3 linked regions of the Coturnix japonica genome follow. The protein of the gene in region 1 purifies or fractionates together with the protein of each later gene. This does not show direct contact. Links are inferred from orthologs where the notes say so. Each region holds a gene or a part of one and is shown on either strand. Other genes may lie near its edges.

The links.
Region 2: the proteins of CDH2 (region 1) and CTNNA1 purify together in Homo sapiens (affinity purification with mass spectrometry; 4 studies listed by BioGRID and IntAct, with this or other methods). This does not show direct contact. The link is inferred for Coturnix japonica from reciprocal best matches to the Homo sapiens genes CDH2 and CTNNA1.
Region 3: the proteins of CDH2 (region 1) and JUP purify together in Homo sapiens (co-immunoprecipitation; 4 studies listed by BioGRID and IntAct, with this or other methods). This does not show direct contact. The link is inferred for Coturnix japonica from reciprocal best matches to the Homo sapiens genes CDH2 and JUP.

Annotation. Positions count from the first base shown.
Region 1 is NC_029517.1:94,736,742-94,740,801, forward strand, and holds the start of CDH2 (cadherin-2), read right to left. Parts: upstream 2,801-4,060; 5' UTR 2,683-2,800; intron 2,608-2,682; exon of another isoform or gene 2,388-2,607; 5' UTR 2,035-2,387; coding exon 1,960-2,034; intron 1-1,959. UniProt on the Homo sapiens protein: Calcium-dependent cell adhesion protein; preferentially mediates homotypic cell-cell adhesion by dimerization with a CDH2 chain from another cell. Cadherins may thus contribute to the sorting of heterogeneous cell types.
Region 2 is NC_029528.1:14,135,272-14,138,958, forward strand, and holds the end of CTNNA1 (catenin alpha-1), read left to right. Parts: intron 1-1,310; coding exon 1,311-1,445; intron 1,446-2,183; coding exon 2,184-2,471; 3' UTR 2,472-3,187; downstream 3,188-3,687. UniProt on the Homo sapiens protein: Associates with the cytoplasmic domain of a variety of cadherins. The association of catenins to cadherins produces a complex which is linked to the actin filament network, and which seems to be of primary importance for cadherins cell-adhesion properties.
Region 3 is NC_029542.1:4,293,823-4,296,090, forward strand, and holds the end of JUP (junction plakoglobin), read right to left. Parts: intron 2,226-2,268; coding exon 2,075-2,225; intron 1,984-2,074; coding exon 1,862-1,983; intron 1,693-1,861; coding exon 1,653-1,692; intron 1,545-1,652; coding exon 1,399-1,544; 3' UTR 1,381-1,398; intron 1,305-1,380; 3' UTR 501-1,304; downstream 1-500. UniProt on the Homo sapiens protein: Common junctional plaque protein. The membrane-associated plaques are architectural elements in an important strategic position to influence the arrangement and function of both the cytoskeleton and the cells within the tissue.

The DNA.
Region 1 (4,060 bases):
TACATTCTCTCGCATCCCATGTGCATTATACATTGCCAGAAATCTAAAGCCCTTTTTCTTGAACATTACACAGAACCCACAGATCCGACTTAAAACACGCTTCCAGTTATGATCAAGCATTCCGTCATGACTGCTTTTCCACATCACTGATGAAAAATGAGTGATCGATAACTTCAGACAATAAAGGCAGAGAGCTCTTGTGTTGCAAAGAGACAGGAAAAAGCTGGAAGGTTCAACACTGCAGAAGAAGCTTTAACAGATAACCTTGTACAAAGCAAACGGAGCAGGTACCAAAGCAGGAAATAAAAGTTCCCACTGCATTCTGTTCGTGAGGACTCTTTGCAGTACACATGAAAGGAAAAAATAAATAAATAACGTGCTGTACAGACCCAGGTCTATAAATCTGATTTCATACCCAAGTTCCAATTTTGTTACACACTATTAAAAATCAGTCCTAACCTGATTTAATGGATACCCAAACAAGGGGGAAATTGGATTCCCCAAGCGTAACGTGCCGCTGACACTGAGTGATGCATGAAAGCAGTGAGGCTCCCTCCTGTCCCCAATTCACAGCTCGCGCTTCATTTCCAACCTGCCCCGGGTAGGAAAAAGATGGAATAAAAGCTCAGCACAGAACGTGGGCTTTGAAGAGTCACTGAGAAGGGAAGTCTGCACAGAACTGAAAGCGTGCACGATAAACAGCACTGAAAATCAGTCTGTACTGTTTTGGGGAGTCTGTGTTCCACACTGACAAAAACAAGCATAAAACAAAGCTAAAGTGGCACATCACAAGTTTCTGAGCAGGGTGGCTGCTATCATGGAAGTCACTCAAGCCCTACAGGACGCACCTCCATCGCTATAGACGGACAGACAGCCCCGTGCCCTGTGCCCTCTGAGGGCCGGAGCTGAAATCCGCCTCACCTCGCTGCCTGCCGCCAGCCAGCAGCCCCGGGAGCGGCTGGGACGCCCGAGGATCGCAGAGGGGTCAAGCGGGGAGGGGAGCGGCTGCGAGGCGAGCTCCTGTCCAGCCGCTCACCATGGACAGGGGCCGCCGGCTACGGCCCGTGCGGGAGGCGGAGGCCGCCGCAGCGCCCCGGGGCCCTGTCCCCGCCGCCGGCCCGGCCTCCGGCCTCTCCCCTAACCCGCCAGAAATGCCCCGACAGTAAATACCATTAAGAGGCGATGATCTGCGCCATCTGTCCCTCAGATTTACCGCCCTCTCCGCCCCCCGCGCTGGGCTCAGCCGGCACAAAGCCGGGGGACAGCGGCCGCCACCCGCTCCTACCGCGTCCCCCCGGCGCTCAGGGCAGCCCTGCGGGATCCATCCCTGCGGGATCCATCTTGCCGCCCGGCACCTGCCCCGGCCCGGGTCCCGCTTTCCCTCCGAGCGCTGCCCCGCACCTCGAGCTCTCCCGGGCCGGGCGGAGGGGCTCCGGCCGTACATTACAGACTTCGGGAGCCCCGTCTCGTCCCGCTGGAAATTCCCGTTACACGCAATGTGGGTGAGCGAGCGGCGCCCGCACGGAGGCGGCGAGTGATTAAATTCTTCCCGGGAAAGGATTAACGGGCACGGAGCCGGCGGAGCGCAGTGCCCTCTCGGCGAGGCCGGCCGGGCTACAAAGCCCCACCTGCCCTGGAGGGACGCGGGGCTCTCTGTGCCTTACACCGCACCGTGTCTGTTCCGCTACTTTCTCCCCCACTCTCCATACGAGAGACCCCCTCTTCCGCCCACAAAACTAGGACCGGACCCCCCTGCCCCTCCCCATACACACACTCACATCCCTCCGCACCTGCTCTCTCCCCCCCCAGCCCCGAGCAGGTGGCCGGCAGCGCACCACCGCCTCGCCCGCGCCCCGCCGCTCCTCCCGCCGGCTTCTTTCTCCCCGGGCACCGCCGCCCGCAGGGGAACAAAGAGCCGCAGCCCGGCCCCGCTCCCCGCCCGCCGCCGGCGGTGCTTACCTGCTGCAGGGCCGCCAGCAGCATCAGCGCCAGCGGTGGCAGGATCCGTGGCGGCGTTCCCGCTATCCGGCACATGGAGGCGAGGAGGGGCGGCGGCGGGGCGGCCCCCGGCGGTCCTGGAGCGCGGCTGGAGCCCCGGAGAGGGGCGAGGGGTGCGGCGGGAGCGGAGGGAGGATCGGGCGCCGGCGGCTCCCGGGGCTGCGCTCTGTCCCCGCCTGCCCGAGCCGGTGCCGCGGCGCTGGCTGCCGCCTGCCGCTCTAGCTCATGGGCAGCGATGCAGCGGGGGAAGAGAGAGACGGAGAGAGGCGGAGGATGGGGGGGAAACTCGGCTCCGGGTCAGGCTGCTTTTCTCTCTGCCGAGCCCCCTCCGCGGTGCAGAGGGTGGGCAGGGATGAGGAGGAGGAGGAGGAGGATGGGCGAACAAAAGGCTGCGAGATAAGAAAGAAGTAGCTGCTGCTGCTGCCAGGCCGGTGCGGCGGCGGCTCGGCAGTCCTCGGCGCCGTCCCCACGCCCGGCTCGTGCCCGCCCCTCTCCTCCCCGCTCCGCTCCCCGGCTCCGTTCAGCTCAGCGCCTCGCCCCGGGCGTGCCGGCCCCGCCGCTGCCCCGGCCCCAGCCCTGCTGCATGCTCCGTCTCCACTTTCTCTCTGCCTCTTTCTTCCCTCCCTCCCTTCACCCCTCCCCCTGCACGCAGAACCCTCCGCCGAAGCACGATGATAACAATACCGAGCAGCCTCTGTGCGTGTGTGCGCGCCGGGCGCTGCCGCTCCCTACGACCAATGGAGCTGCCCCGCCTCGCTCCAGGGAGCGGGCACGGGGCTGGGGCACCCCGCAGCGCCAGCAATACGGGAACAAAGAGAAAAATAATTACAGAAACGCTCCTAACTTGCCTCGCTGAGATTGTTTGGGGGGGGAAAGGGGGAGGGACGGAGGGGGAGGACCCAGGGGTGTCATTCCCTGGGGTTGCGGGGCGCTGCTGGCGTCCCAAGTTTGGCTCCGGTGCTGCTGCTGAGGAGGTCGCTTATTATTTCTATTACTCCTCCCCTCTTTTTTCCTCTTTCTTCCTTACTCCTTCGTATTCCAAACTACCTGCCGAATTTACCAGCCGATGTTTTTCAAAGGCTTTGGCCGGCGCTGCGGTCCGCGCGTCCAAAAAATATCAGCGTGCTTAACGGGAAACGGGGAGCGCTGCTGAGCGACCAGTCACAGCAGCGACTATCAGTGCTGGGTCAGTGGCGGAGCTGGCAAGGAGCTTCCCTCGCCCACAGGTCACTGAGCAAAGTTGTTTTGTGTCCATGCATCGCAGCTCCCATCCTGGGACATAATAAGGGGAGGATTTGTAGGCATTCCTAGGAACGCAACCTCGCCAAGTGTTGATTCAAAATGGTGCATTATTTTAAAGCACCTTATTTTACACTTCAGCTTCCAAGAAAAAACACTCTCAGAGCCTTTTTATTTTTTTTCTTTCCCTCCCCTGCTTTTGTTTAGAAAGAAAACAGCAGATTTGCTTTTCCGTTTTACCGGGGACACTCGCACGATGCTGGTTCCACGAGCTGCATAATAGCAAACACCGGGGACCGGTACCGCGCACCCGAACCGAGCGCCTGCCGGACCGCAGCTCTACAGCAGCCCCGAGCCGGGGAGAACCGTGCCCACCTGGAGGCATTAAAAAGCAAACGGAGCTCGGGTGAGGAGGGACAGCCCCGACAGGAAAATCAGCCCCCCCCCCCCCCCCACCTTTAGCCCCGCGCTTTCTTAAAGTTGTAGCCCATGAAATTGTATCGAAGCCAAGAGTTGTGATGAGCAATAAAGGAGGGAAGAGGAGTCTGGTAATGCGGTTCTGGATTCAAACGCGGTTTGGGATGGAAGGAAAGTGAGCAGGAAAGCTGCTGCTGCTGGTGTTTGTGCTTTCATACAGCGGTGAGTTCCCCGAGTTTGCACCTGATAGAGCACACACTCTTGTGGCTTACCCTGAGCTTTTGCTCGGATTTGCTTTTGAAACGCTGACTTTCCCTCAGTAACAGATTCCTCTTTGTATTTTCGGGTAGGTAGACATATGAATAATAGCGTTAATTAACTATGCTGTTTGACCATTTCTTTACTC
Region 2 (3,687 bases), on another chromosome or scaffold:
TTCCTGTATCTCACATGGCTGTGAGCGAGCAGAGGGTCCTGGTGTCCCACAGCCCACGTGGCAGTGCTGGATCACAGCCCTGGTGTCAGCGTGTCGGGGCTCCCAGCTTCACAACGCAGCGCCTTCAAACATCCCAGCTGTTATCCCGGGTATTTCATGTCTGCTGAGAGGCATCGAGCCATCAGCCTGCAGATTTCCCCAGGGGTTTTCCTTCCATCCTTCACTCAGAGGAGCCGCCTGCTTGTTTTGAATGGGAGAACGTGAAGGAGTTCCGAGTACAACACAAACGAAAATGATTTGCAGCAATTCTCTGTTATTATTTTTTTTAATGTTGAAATATTTACAGCAGGAAAACCCACCCCGTTGTGCTGCTGCACACAGTGATGGGAGGCTGATGGCTGTACGTGCTGCTGGGACCACACGGGGCTGCCTCATGTCCTAATCAGTGTGGGAACCATGGAACCCTAGAATGGCCTGGGTTGAACAGGACCACAGTGATCATCTCTTTTCAGCCCCCTGCTGCGTGCAGGGTTGTCAACCACCAGCCCAGGCTGCCCAGAGCCACATCCAGCCTTGGATGCTGTCTTTTATCTTGGGTAGTTTCTCTTTGCAGACATCATTGGTTTTTGAACTGAATTCTCCACTCTGCTCATCGAATTAGCACACACAGTGTAGGCTGTGGGTTTCCCAGTCATGTCATATTGATGTCTGCTATTAAATAATATCTCTGATCCCATTTCTTACCTTCCCACTGCTGTTTGGTTGCTTCCTGCCACCACAGGCTCTTCCTAATTCCTACCCGTACAGCACCCCAAGCTGTGCACAACCCCCAGCCACACTGCAGTGTGTGTGTGTCAGCACTCAGCCCCAGCTGAGCTGCTCAGGAGATGGAGAGCATTTCCCAGATGCTAATGGCAGGGTTTCATTAACTCCTTGGCCCACGGTGTTTGTGAGCTCTCCCTAAAACATCTTGCACTGCTGGCTGGTATTGATTCACTTAAGAAAATAACCAGCAGACCTCACCTCTTTGTTATGCAGTTTTCACTTCGCTGATGGAAACCAAGAGAGCTGCAGGTGCCTCGGTGTGTTCTTAGCTTGGCTGGGGGGCACGAAGGCAACTGCTGCCACCCAGACCACAGAATCACAGGGTATCACGGGGTGTCAGTGTGTCACAGGGTATCACAGTGGGGCATTGGAGGGTGTTTGGGTTCCCTACGTGAGCATGTGGGGTGCTGGAAAATGCAAAGCTGAACAAGTTACTTCCATGGACTCCATCCCCACACCAACCCTTGCTGTGTCTCTCCCTGCAGTGCCCCGACTCGGCATGCAAGCAGGACCTGCTGGCCTATCTGCAGCGCATCGCCCTGTACTGCCACCAGCTCAACATCTGCAGCAAAGTGAAGGCTGAAGTGCAGAACCTTGGAGGGGAACTCGTCGTGTCTGGGGTACGTAGGATGACGTTTGGTGCCACACAGCTCTGCTGCTTGATGTGCTCCTCTGTGGGAGGCTGAAGGCATCGTGCTGTCAGAGGAGTGGATGTGTCATTACACAGTAATGTGGACTCCAGGGTTTTACTGCCATTATTCAGCTTCTTCAGAACGTACATCCCCTCCTGCCATAAATTAGTTATGTGAGCAGGCATCTGCCATCTAATCTGCCGCTTTATCTGCTCCCCTGCAATCTGCCCATGGGGCTGAGTGCTGCTGGGTGCTGTTCAGCTCTGTCAGGTTACAGGGGAAGGCCCCGTGTCTGCAAGGGAATTCTGTCTCATTTTAAAGCTCCTGTCAGTAGGAACCACCCTGCAAACAGCTCCAGGCCCGGTGAAGATAACACTGCACTCCTCCCTTTGTAATATAACTTCATGTTCCCGGCTGATTTAAATGTTTATTATCAGCAATTAAGATATTGCTGTGATTTTATTAATTTCATTAGAGAATAAGCTGCTTTTAAAGCTTAGTCCCAAAAGCAAACAGCGGAGCACAGATCCCTTCGGTTGCCATTAGCACAGAGCATTGTGCAGGCAGGGCGCAGTGTCAGCAGGGGAACATCACTGTGTGGATGGGGTCCAGGCTTTGAGCAAAGCCATCAGAGCAGTTGTGGGGTGGGTGCAGTGCAGAGCTCAGGGTGCTGCTGTGGGGCTGCTGGGGTCTGTCACCTCCTGTAACCCCATTCCCTCCCTGCAGGTGGACAGCGCCATGTCCCTCATCCAGGCGGCCAAGAACCTGATGAACGCGGTGGTGCAGACGGTGAAGGCGTCCTACGTGGCGTCCACCAAGTACCAGAAGTCGCAGGGCATGGCCTCGCTCAACCTCCCCGCCGTGTCCTGGAAGATGAAGGCTCCGGAGAAGAAGCCCCTGGTCAAAAGGGAGAAGCAGGACGAGACCCAGACCAAAATCAAGCGGGCGTCCCAGAAGAAGCACGTGAACCCGGTGCAGGCGCTCAGCGAGTTCAAGGCGATGGAGAGCATTTAGAGGTGCCCGTGTCGGTCAGTTTTTCCTTTAGGCCACTACTGCTACTGCCAGAACTCTGCTCTTAACATCCTGAGGATTCTCAGGAGTTTCCTACTCCTCCAAATGTATTTACTTAATATAATTTTGATAACTTTGTTTAGATCATGTGGGGAAATACTCGAATCACGAAACCTATCAGTATAGCTCCAGACTGCGGGAGTGTGTTCCTTTAGATTGCTTTTAGATTCCAGGGGTGTATTTCTAGCTGGAAACTATTTTGTATAATCTCGCTTTAAATGAAATATTCTATAACCAAAGAGGTTTTACACTAACACTAACAGTTAACGCTGATAGCTGAACCGTCCTGCTTGGAGGCGGCCGTTCTGCCTTGTGATCCAGAGGGAAAAATTAAGGCTTTTCACTCAAAAAAAAAAAAAAAAAGGTTTTACAAATAGATTATTGTGTGTATGTGGATCCTGCTGGGAGCCGAGAGCCAGTGAGCTGTGAGTGCCAACAGGAGCTGAGAACACAGCGAGCAGCTCCTGCCATGGAGCTGCATGGCACACGGCTGGGCAGGGCCGGGAGGGGCTGCAGTGCTCCCTGTGCTGCCTCCCATCCCTGTGCCCCCCGTGGCTGCTGGGGTCACTGCTGGCTTCTGTGTGACACCAGAGCGGTAATGCCCGGCTGCAGACGGCGGATGTTGTTGCTGCAGGACACAATAAAGTTGCTTTTCCCACCCTGCGTTGTGCTGTTCGTGCTGTTGGCGCTGTGTGCATTTCCCAGCAGCTCTCGTTAGCTCTGGCTGCAGTGCTGTGCGGTGATGTACCTACAGGCATCGCTTCACCCCTGTTTATTTACACACTCTGGGTGTTGGTGTGTTTTACTCCCACCAACGAGATCCCTCCTTCCCCAGAAGGCTGTGAGTGGTTCGTGGCCAGGGGTTGGTGCAGTGCTGTGACTGTAACTGAGTTTGAGAGCAGCTCCTTGGCAGTGCTTAGCTTATAATTCCATTTACCTCAATCACGGTTTACTGTATCAAGCCCTTTGCTGTCAGGTTACCAGCTGCAGGTCAGGATTAGGAGTTAATGTTGCCCATTTTGCTCCCAAGTGCTGCTGCCTCCAAGGACGGGTGACAATGCCCTGCAGTGTCAGTGCTGGCCCCACAAACACCCAGGGCCTCAATGCTGCACCTTAATGCCACAAACACAAACCACTCCTCTGGATCCCTGTGTGACAG
Region 3 (2,268 bases), on another chromosome or scaffold:
GCAGGGGGGACGCGGGGACACGGCCGAGCAGATGGGCACCGCCAAGTTCACGGATAACTTTGGGAAGTTTCCACCTCTCAGCACGTTGCCAGCCCGGCGCCCGGAGCTGCTTCCACGCCGCTCGCAGGGAGCAGCTGCCGGTGAATCTCCTCCCTCCATCTGTGCCGCTCGCACAACCCGGCTGCGGGAGTTTGGATGGGAATCGGTCGCCGCTTTTAACCCCGCCGCACGCAGCTCCATCCCGCCCCGCTCCATCCATCCATCACCGGAGCTCGGCTGCAGCGCGTGTTTATCCCTAGAGCTCATTAAGACGAGCTCCGAGCCGCAGCGGAGCTGAGATGCCAGTGATGCTCCTTAATGAACAAACATCTTAATTACCAGGAGCTGCTGCCTCCTGGCAGAGCAGACATGTCGCCATACCCACATCAGGGCGATGCCCACCCCACCCCAACGGGACCCACAATGTCCCCAGGCCAACAAAGAAGAGGCTGACGACGACCCGGGGCTGGGGGGGTTATTTTATTCTTTGCTTTGGTCTATACAAAAAACAACTTATAGAAATAATAAAATCTTCCCTTCTGGACCCACGCTGCAGTGACAGCCCGTCCACTTCCAGGCAGAGCGTGAAACCATCAGATCCAGAACCTCTTCAGAAAAGTCATCAGATAAGGAAAGAGGGAGGAAACACCACTCACCAAAAGGAGGGGAAAGGGTTAAAATGTGCCACAGAGATGGGTACAAGGACACGGTTCTACTGCTGGAGTCACTCCTCTATGGGTGCTGCGGGACTCAGTCGGCTCCACGCAGCAGATCCCAACCCCACCATCCCCAGGGCTCCAGGAGCGGCTCCGTTTGCTCCCAGCAAAGCCCAGGCTGCCCCTCGGACACCAAAGCTTGCAGAAAGCAAAGGGGCTCCTCCCAGCAGACCCCTCCCCAGAACAAACTGCAGGGACGTTAGAAAGCACAAACTTAAAGACGGCAAAAGCCGTTGGCACCATATTAAAAATAAGAAGGAAATATATATATTCATAGAAAAGACCATCCTGCCAATGAAAGGTTGATAAAGATGCGGGATTTGTGTGTTTTAAAGCTTCAGAAACTGTATTTGGATGCCGGGTGCAGCAGTAGGTGCTCGAAGCAGTCCCAGGAGGAAGGACCTGCACAGACCCACAGCGAAGAGAAAACTAAACGGGGAGATGAAACCTCTCGTGGGAATGGGGACGTTTGTCGTCAGGCACTTCTGTCTCCCGAGTCCTTCTCGCCATTGCTCAGCTCTGGGGCCGCCCTCTGCACGGAGGAAACTCCTGCACAGAGGAATGGGTGTCACCGTGGGCTCTGGGGAGCGGGATGTGGCCCCCCAGCCCCCCCAGCCCCCCCTACCTGTTGTTGTGCGGGCGGTCAGGCGAGCATATGGTCAGCAAAGGGCGCGCGGACGCCGTCACTGTAGGCGTCCATGGGGTAATCTCCATCCATGTCCATGTGCATGTCAATGGGGTCCAGAGGGATGTCACCCGAGTACATGGGGCGGTAGCCAGGGTCCATCTCTGCTGGGTGACAGGGGACACTCAGTGCCTGTGGGTGACAGCCGCCCTCCTGGCTCCCATTGCGCTGAGAGGGACCGAGAGGCCGCACAGACCCAGGGCTGCACTCACCGTCTGAGTAGGGCTCGTTGATGGGGATCATGCTCTGAGCCTGGGAAAGAAGGTGGCACACTTTGAGATTCAGGGAACATGCACGTGGCACTTGGTATCCCCATCCCATGACCCAGAGCCACCACCTCCCCTCTGCCCACCCACCGCTGCCGTGCAGGCTCAATGTGGGGGCACAATGTGGCCGCCCCTCCCCGTCCCCATGCACTCACCGCCTCCCACGCTGCGGGGTCGTGCTTGAACAGTGAGTTGGTGAGCTCCACAGACACACGCTTCCTGTAGTCGGGGTTCTTGTCCTCGGAGATGCGGAAGAGCACAGCGGCCGCATAGGTGGCTGTGGGGGGACAGGAGCTGAAACACTGCAGCAGGGCCCAGGGATCCACCTCGGCGAGCAGAGCCCAGCACAAGGCTGGGGCTGCACTCACCTGTGCCCTCATTCCTGGAGTGCAGCAGCTCCATGAGAGGAGCTGAGGCCCCTTCGGCATCAATGGCATCAGCAGCCTCCTTGTCCTGGGCCAGCTCGCACAGCACGCCGGCTGCCACGCGCTGGATGTTCTCCACTGGTGAGTAGAGGAGCTGCCGGGAGAGAACAGGGCGGTGTGAGACTGTGTCCCCAGTG